2 linked regions of the Callithrix jacchus genome follow. The protein of the gene in region 2 interacts with the protein of the main gene of each other region in a biochemical or structural test. Links are inferred from orthologs where the notes say so. Each region holds a gene or a part of one and is shown on either strand. Other genes may lie near its edges.

Evidence for each region. The genes of interacting proteins can lie anywhere in the genome.
Region 1: the proteins of SORT1 (region 2) and BDNF form a complex in vitro, tested with the Homo sapiens proteins (2 studies listed by BioGRID and IntAct, with this or other methods). The link is inferred for Callithrix jacchus from reciprocal best matches to the Homo sapiens genes SORT1 and BDNF.

What each region holds. Positions count from the first base shown.
Region 1 is NC_133511.1:93,064,293-93,068,607, reverse strand, and holds the start of BDNF (neurotrophic factor BDNF precursor form), read left to right. Parts: upstream 1-1,461; 5' UTR 1,462-1,971; coding exon 1,972-2,196; intron 2,197-4,315. UniProt on the Homo sapiens protein: Important signaling molecule that activates signaling cascades downstream of NTRK2. During development, promotes the survival and differentiation of selected neuronal populations of the peripheral and central nervous systems.
Region 2 is NC_133508.1:147,277,871-147,281,972, forward strand, and holds the start of SORT1 (sortilin), read right to left. Parts: upstream 2,884-4,102; 5' UTR 2,819-2,883; coding exon 2,513-2,818; intron 2,208-2,512; exon of another isoform or gene 2,099-2,207; intron 1-2,098.

The DNA.
Region 1 (4,315 bases), on a different chromosome or scaffold from region 2:
CCCCTTTATAGAACAGTCGCACCTGAACAGTTGCATTGATGACTGTATCCGGTCTACACAAGAGGCCATACCTGGGCATAAGAATGGACTGACAAAACCTAGCCAACACACCATTGACAAATACACATTTCTTTTGTTAATAATACCTGTGAAGCCTTTCACAACAGACATTTCCAGTTTTGTTTTCAGGCTCCTTGCAGCTGCTCCTCTAAAAGTCTCCTCTCTTCCCAGAGCTGACAATGACCAGAAGCAAGGTGTTCTGTCTTTTGTGCCATCATTTGGGATGTCAGCTCAGGTATCAGTTTTGTATCAACTCAGTATGGCTTGTGGGTCTGTTTGCCTTTGTTATTCATGCCAAGAGCCTCTGGGCATCAGTTCCGTGTGAGAGAACCCATTCCATGACCCTCCTTCTTTTGGCTGTTTTGACTCGATGGCTCTTGTTGGCATAGTCGGTGAATGTCTGATGCTCTATCCATGCCAGACCACCTGCTTTGCTGTCTCTGTGGTCTGAACTAGTTGTCTGAACTACTCTTTGATAATCTGAGATTACCTTGCTCTACCTTTCTTTTCAAGTCACATCTCAGCCCCTCAGCCACATTCCCGAAGAACATGACAAACGGATGGGTCACAAGTCACGTAGCATAGTGTGTCAGACCACCAGGTTTTGAAGGGATTCTGTTTGGGTGCCAAAAAGAAAGATTTTATGTCACCATGATTTTTTTTAATGGCCTGTTGACACTTAGGCCTTAATTGAAAGCATTCTTACTCAAGTAGAGTTGACAGAGGAGTATTTGGTAGTTGTGGTTGCTGGTCTGAAAAGCATGTGGCTCTGTTTCAATACTCAAAGAGATCTTCTCAGGGGAAAAAGTTCTGACATCTCAAACAAATGACCTTCATGCATAGTTTTGACACGATGCCCTATTAAGTATGTGTGTATGGTCGGTACCTTGTGGTAATAATTCAATACGGGGAACAGAGTAGCAACAAAGAAACATTAGGGTTATATTTAACCTCTGTGGAATTGGTGTGTAAACAAACTGCTTATCAGAAATGATCATATGGGGCTTTGTTTAAATAAATAAGAAACTGACACACAGGGTCTGTGGGATATCTCTGCCAAGCAGACCACCCTCACATTATAAGATACCACATCCATGTCTGACCCCATATGGAAAGAGGCATAGCAAGCCAGCACTGGTTCATATTCCGTCCACCACATAGTGGGTTTGTGATCTTAGGGAATCCACCACAATGCTCTGAAACTCTCAGTTTCCTCAGCTATAAATAGTGAATAATCAAATGATCTACCTCACCATTAATAAATGTTAGCTATTTTTAAATCAAGTTTAATACAAAGAGAAACATTTTATTTTTCCAGCTGCCCAGAGCATTTTCCAAAATCCTATCACCAACAAATACTATATTGTATTTATTATAGCAACTTTGTATAAATGGAGTCCCTGTCCTATGCTTAGATGAAATATGTTGGCATTTGAGTTTGCATGTCTTCTATAGGAATAAGTGTTTAGTGAAAATGGGTGGAGACAAACAGATGTTCTCACAGTCCTGTTATTCACAGTACCGCCAAATCGAATGTTTCCATATAGGTGCATTCTAATGGCTTAAATGATGCGGATATTTTCTGGCCAGCCATATGGATCTTTTGTCATCTAAGATGTTAATATTTTCCTTATATTTTATAGTAGTTCTGGAGGACCGCCAGTTTCTTGAATAGGGTCCACATGGCTCATTATGCACAGGGCCTGGAAACTGCCTTACGCATGCTGTTGAGATGAACAGTGACACTTCAGAAGAGCTGGGAGCTGGGGTAGAGCAGTGGCTAGGAGAACATATTCAATTATTTTTCCACTTGCATTAAGCTACAAGTAATGAGCACTTTCCTGTGCTTTACAGTAAGTAATTAAAAGAAATTATAAAGTTGGATGCAAAAATAACCCGAAGGACAACTGGATGTGTGGAGCCACCAGTTTTCTCCATGAGCACACAAGGTTAATCCTTGTTACTGCTCAGAATGCTGAGTTTCTACAGGAAGGGTTGCAGGTCCACACATGTTTTGGCGTCTACCCACACACTTCTGTATGGCATGACTGTGCATCCCAGAAGAAGGGCTGTGCTGTGTGCCTCCGCGTTTCAGTGGAATTTAACAAACCGATCCCTGAAAATGGTTTCATAAAGGTGAGTAACAGCTAATAGCCTTCTCTTGCTAATTTTATCTTTCCCCCAAGATTTCTTGATAATAATTTGAAAAGGAGTGTTATTCCTTGGTCTCTAGAGGCAACTTACCTTTCCAGTTTCTTCCCTCACCTGTTTTCAACTCTCTTGCTTTTTTAAATTTAATGTTCTATGTATTTCAGAAGATAGGATCTAACCTAGTGAGGTCCCTTCATCAGGTGATAATTATCTCATTTTCATTTTGGCCCTCTGAATTAATGGCATTGAAGCCTGGCAGTTTGATCCTAAGATGGGTTTAATTATGTACAGATACTCTTTCTATAATGGAAATTGCTCAGATAACTAATTAACCACAAGAATACACTGACTATGGAAAATTTCAGGAGCACCGTCTGTGGAAAAACTGGGAAGGGCATGCTGTCACCACAGCTCTGGGGTCTATTAAAAGTGTGGTTATGCAGCACTGGTGTCTAGTGGGGCGTTGGCTCTCAACTGTCAGAATTCCCATAGCATTTCATGGCAGAGAGTCAAGATGTCCAGCAATACTCTGAAAGCAACCTGTTGATTAAAGTTGTTAATTCTGAAGAAAGTGATTGAAATAAGACAAATGGGTCTTAACTTTCTTTCTCTTTCTCTCTTTTGTAAAAAAGTGTGATCATCCTGGCATGTGCCCAATCCTAACATAATGCCAACATCTTTTCTTAAAGGGGGATTCTGTTTATCCTTGGGTCTGACAGTTATTGCCTGTTCTCCCCTTAGGGACAATGAATGCAGTTGCATCACCCTTGCTTGCTTTTCTTTTTTTTTTCTTTTCTATTTTTTTTTGGTACAGAACATGCTTATTTTTGGATGTAGGGACTTGAAAGACAAAGCCCCACCTGGCTTTCACAACATCTCCTGTTAGTAGGTGTGCCTTGTATGTAATTTGAAGGAGGCAGTCCCTTAGCTGTGTTTACACTATACTTTTCATTGTGGGGCTGAAGGTGCAATCAACTATACTTGAGATGCTACCTGGGAAAACAGGGTTCTGTGTCATCTCAGCCCCACCCATTTGCAAATGATTTAACAGCAGCACTATTCGGGTTCCTAGTGCAAGTCATTTGCCTTTGGGCCCGTGAACTTGGTGACTTCGTGTATGGAAACAAACAATCTTTGCAGTCTTTTGTAAAAAGCCTAAACAGTGGACCAGTCTCCAGTTCTACTTGGCAAAGCTGCCCCCATCAAATCCCTCATAATGTTCAACTTAAAAATTTTTACTTTTCTCTGGAAATCTAACTTTTTTCCTTTTAAAAAAAACCATTTTAAGTACTTCAGTCTTGAATGAAATGATCCCAAATATTGGACACCAGCTAAAAAATTGAATTACCTTCTGGGAACCTTATTGAAGAAGAGAGATATTGTTTGGAGAGGGGGTTTCGATGCTTGATACTTATATTTACTGTTTTAAGATTTCATTGTTGTTGCTGCTGCTGCTTTATTCCGTAAGTTTTGTTTCTTTAAATTTCATGGTATTTGGTAGGAGAGATCTGGATCTGTTGGTTTCAGGACGAGTCTAGAAATAAGAAATCTGCCTTGAGTGGGTGAGTTGGTTCGCTCTGTTGCTATTTCACCATTTAGGACCAAAAGAACTCACAAGGACAAGAGACATCTGGCTAAAAGTAATACCAGTGTGACTGGACATCTACTACCTGCCATAATTGGTCATATCATTTCCAGTATGATGCTGATTGAGTGAATGATATTAGGCTATGTTCAGGGATCACAGAGGCTAATTGTGCTTATATTGCCTTATAGCATTGTGGTAAAAATTAATGATTATGTAGATGTCCACATTTAGGTTATCAATACTCTAAAAGTTCTCATTGAACCAATCATGTTTATAAGTAGCTTGTACTTTGTAACATAATAACAATAGTGGAAAAATTAGTTGACATAAAAAGAGTGCAGACTTTATTTAATACCATTACAAAAGCAAAGGCATTTTTCCACATAAATGTCCCCATAAAATAAATGGAACCAAAGAGGAAAGATGACAGGTAACCCCATGACATGCTAAGAAAGTATCCTAATACTTAAGTTGACTTTAACCTTTTATTTCCTTATCCTAAGCAGCTTCTTTTCT
Region 2 (4,102 bases):
CTTGGTTAAGGAAGTGGTACTTTACTTAACCACTTTTGAGGTAAAGGATATTAAACAAAGGCTCCACTTTTCTTTTTTTAAACCAGATACAGAAAGGATGAGACCACAGATGATCAACAAGGGCAATTTTTTTTTTTTTTGAGACAGAGTCTCGCTCTGTCACCCAGACTGGAGTGCAGTGGTGTGATCTAGGCTCACTGCAACCTCTGCCTCCTGGGTTCAAGTGATCCTCATGCATCAGCCTCCGGAGTAGCTGGGATTACAGGTGCATGACACTGAGCCTGGTTAATTTTTGTATTTTTAGTAGAAACAGGGTTTCATCATGTTAGTCAGGCTAGTCTCGAACTCTTGACCTCAAGTGATCCACCTGCCTTGACCTCCCACAGTGCTGGGATTACAAATGTGAGCCATGGTGCCTGGCCAAAATAGCTATTATAAATAAGGTCACTGAAAAAACACTGGGAGAGAAAAGCTAAAAAAAAAAAAAATCATTAGAAACTGCTAAATGAAAGAAATAAAAGAAAATTTCTTAAAGAAGGAGTGGTTTTAGTTTGGCTCATCCATAGATTTGGCCTTAGAACCCCTGAGCTGGTTTTCTCAACCTCTTGCTTTGGAATCAATCAATATATTACAAATGACATATCAATTCAAACTAACCAGGAAGACTCTGCCTCAAGGAATAAACAGAGGCAGGGCATAGTAGCTCAGGCCTCTAATCCCAGCTCTGTGGAAGGCTAAGGTGGGCGGAGCACTTGAGCCCAGGAGTTCAAGACCAGCCTGGGCAACTGGGCAAAACCCTGTCTCCAAAAAAGAAAAAAGAAAAGAACAATTAGCTAGATGCATGTGCCTGTAGTCCCAGCTACCTGGGAGGCTGACGTGGGAGGATCACTTGCACCCAGGAGGTCAGGGCTGCAGTGAGATGTGATCGCACCAATGCATTCCAGCCTGGGCAAAAGAGTGAGACCTCATCTCAAAAAAGTAGTAATTACACAAAAATTAGCTAGGCATAGTGGTGCACACCTGTAGTCCCAGCTACTCAGAAGGCTGAGGTAAGACCCTGTCCAAAAAAAAAAAAAAAAAAAAAAAAGGAGTAAATCTAAATCCAGGAGTAGCTGCAGACCTAAAGTTAGGTCAACCAGCAAGAGAAGAATTTGAAATATGGAATAAGAATGCTGTGTCCAGCTGGCTCAGGGAAGGAAGTGGTCCAGTATAAATTAAGCATCAGTGTTGTAAAGCCTTTCTCAACCCCCCACTGTGAGAAGGAAGTCTATTCTATTATTTTTTTTTTAATTTCTCATCAAGTAGGAAGACTTCCCAGTACTCATTCTACTCAATCTGTCCCACCCTTCAGCACTAGCTTGGCCTCCTTTATACAACTGCTGCTCCAGCTGCACTAAGCACAGTTATTCCTGAATACTTGTGTCTTGTGTCCCCAGATCAGAGAATTCTATCACAGGTAACAAGTATGGTCCAGATAACTGGGCAGTCCAAGGGGAAACTGAGGCTTGGCTGATATTGAAATGTGATTACAGAAAGACAAGTGCAAGCACAGAGCCTTGGCCACCCATCCCTACCCCCAAGTGCAATTCATTCTCTGTGAAAGAGGAAAACAAGCAAGCAAGAAAATATATAGAATTGAAAATACATTATGCAAATGTAGCTAGCAAGAATTAAATTGTTAATTATAGAGAAAAAGAAGATGCCCAAGTTGTGCAGAAGCAAGAAGCCAGGACTTTCTTAATAACTGGTTTTGTCAATCCAGTAGTGTGCAAAGGTTGAGCTTGCTTGTCCCCAGGGACAGAAATACCACAATTCTGAAAGTCTTTTGACGGAGAACTGGCTCAAAGCAGAATGTATGCAATTCCTTTCCTAAGTATTGAAAATCTTATCACCACAGATGTAGACATACTAGTCAGGGTTCCGTACCACGACAGAAGGTCAAATCTGAAGGAGTAAGAGAGATCACATAAATACTACCATCTCATTTCCAAGCTAGTCCCCTTAACTATCAAAACACACACGGTGACCCGACCGCTGCTTCTGGCCTCCTGAACTCCCGCCTCTCCACCCCGAAAGTACTGACCCAGGGAGGACACACCTTTGCTTCTGCGCAGCCCAACTTCTGCAACCGCTCAAGAGTTAATTAATTACTCCTCCAGCTTCCTGGGGCCTAACAGCTTTACTGGGTCCTGATTTTTTATACAGACGGAAAACAATGACGCTCAAGAGATTTTGACAACTTAAAAAAAAAAAAAAAAAAAAAAAAAAAAGAAGAATGCGGTGGAAGTCTAAGATTGCCTCCCCTGTGACGAAACACAGCCCAGCCGGCCGCCCGGGCCCGACTCCGCCCGCCTGCCCGCCGCAGTTTCCGAGCTGCGGCCCGGGGTGGCGCGGACGCGGTGGGGCCGGGGTCTCCTTCGGGAGTCGCGGGGCGAGCTAGGCGCGCGGGCCGGGAGGGGCGCACTGGCGGCACCTCGAAGCCGAGCGGCGCCCGGCCCCGGCGCCCGCTCACCTGGTGCGTGTTGTTGGCCAGCTTGGCGACGAAATCCCGGACCCGGCCGCATTCCTCGTCCTCGCCGGGCGCGCTGCGACGCCAACGGCCGCCGCGGGGAAACGCGCCCCCGGCCGCCGCCGCCCGCAGCCCCCAGCTCACCCCAATGGGGCCGGACCAGCGCAGCAGCGGCGCAGCAGGCGGCGGCGGCGCGTCCAGCCGGTCCTGGCCGAAGGTCGCAAGCGGCAGCAGCTGCAGGAGAAGAAAGAGGCCGAGGCCGTGGGGCCAGCGCAGGAGGACGGCCGCAGCTCCTCGGGGTCGCTCCATCGCCGCCGAAAGCCGACGCCGCCGACGCCGCCGACACCTGCCGCCCGGCGCGCCCGCCTACCCCCGCCGGCGCGCGCCACACCCCCGAGCCGAGCGCGGCGCTCCTTGGATACGCGCGGCCGGGCCTCTCCGCCCCATAGGCTGGCCGCCTGTCCCTCTTTCCCGGCCCACTTCTCATTGGCTCGCGTCGCCTCCGGCTTCGGGGGTCCTGGATTCGGATGCCAAGATGCGGGACTGATTGGCTGGAACGTGGCAGAGACTGCTGAGGTCAACCCCGCCTCGCCCAGCGTCTCCAGGGCCCGGCTGACTGAGTTCACGTAAGAGCTTTTCCCACCTTCCCGCCGAGCCCCGGGCTCCTGGCGCCGCGACCCCTCGCCGCACCTCTAGCGCCCTCAAGTTGGAGCTGTGTTACTTCCCTCTTGTTCCCCAGAGACACCCCTAAAATTCCTTCGGTGAGGCAGAGCCTGGAAAATCTCCCCCGGGGAATCCCTGAGCTCGCTCAGCTGGAAAAAGGAGCTCCATCATGAACCGGGGCTTCAGGTTTTTATAAACCCCGCTCACTGGAGCGCCCATTGTCGGCTAAGCAGCCCCCTTGTTGCCAAGGTGAATGCGAACTGGTGTGGGTCACATCCTACGGAGACAGACGACAGGACATCCGAGACTCCTGCAAGCCTGAAGAATAGACTTTCCACACGTTTAGCCTCTTTCGCCTTCCTCTTCTGCGGGGAGGTAGGCCAAAGGCGGAATTACAGGTTTTCCAGTACTTCGAATGTAACTTAGACATTAGGGGCAGGTAAAAGGGGGCAAATGACCCAATGCCTACCGTTTACATGATAATTTCCTAGATGCACATGTACTTTACAAGAATGCCTTAGCTCTGCAGTGAGAGCTTCGCACAAGTTTGGTTCCAGTATGTGATGTCCTCTAAATTAGAACCCCAATCCACCTCCAATGAATAAAATAAAAGCCCTACGCTGTTCCCTTTACTGCAGAAGCTGCACACATAACTTCTACAACACGTAGTACAGGTAAAACCAGTTCTGAATCCTTAAACTGACTCTGTCCCTTTGGAAAGTTAGAAATTGTTGAGTAGAAAAGGTAGCAAATAGAAAGCTACAAAATATGCAAATCGTTACACTCAAAGAAAGTAAAGATGACTTTTAACTATACGCTGGCCATAAAACCAAATGAGGGTATACAATGTACAGCAAAATGATACAACGCAGCAACCCAATATTTACATTAAAATACTTCTAGTCACGTTAACTTTCAAACAAAAAGACT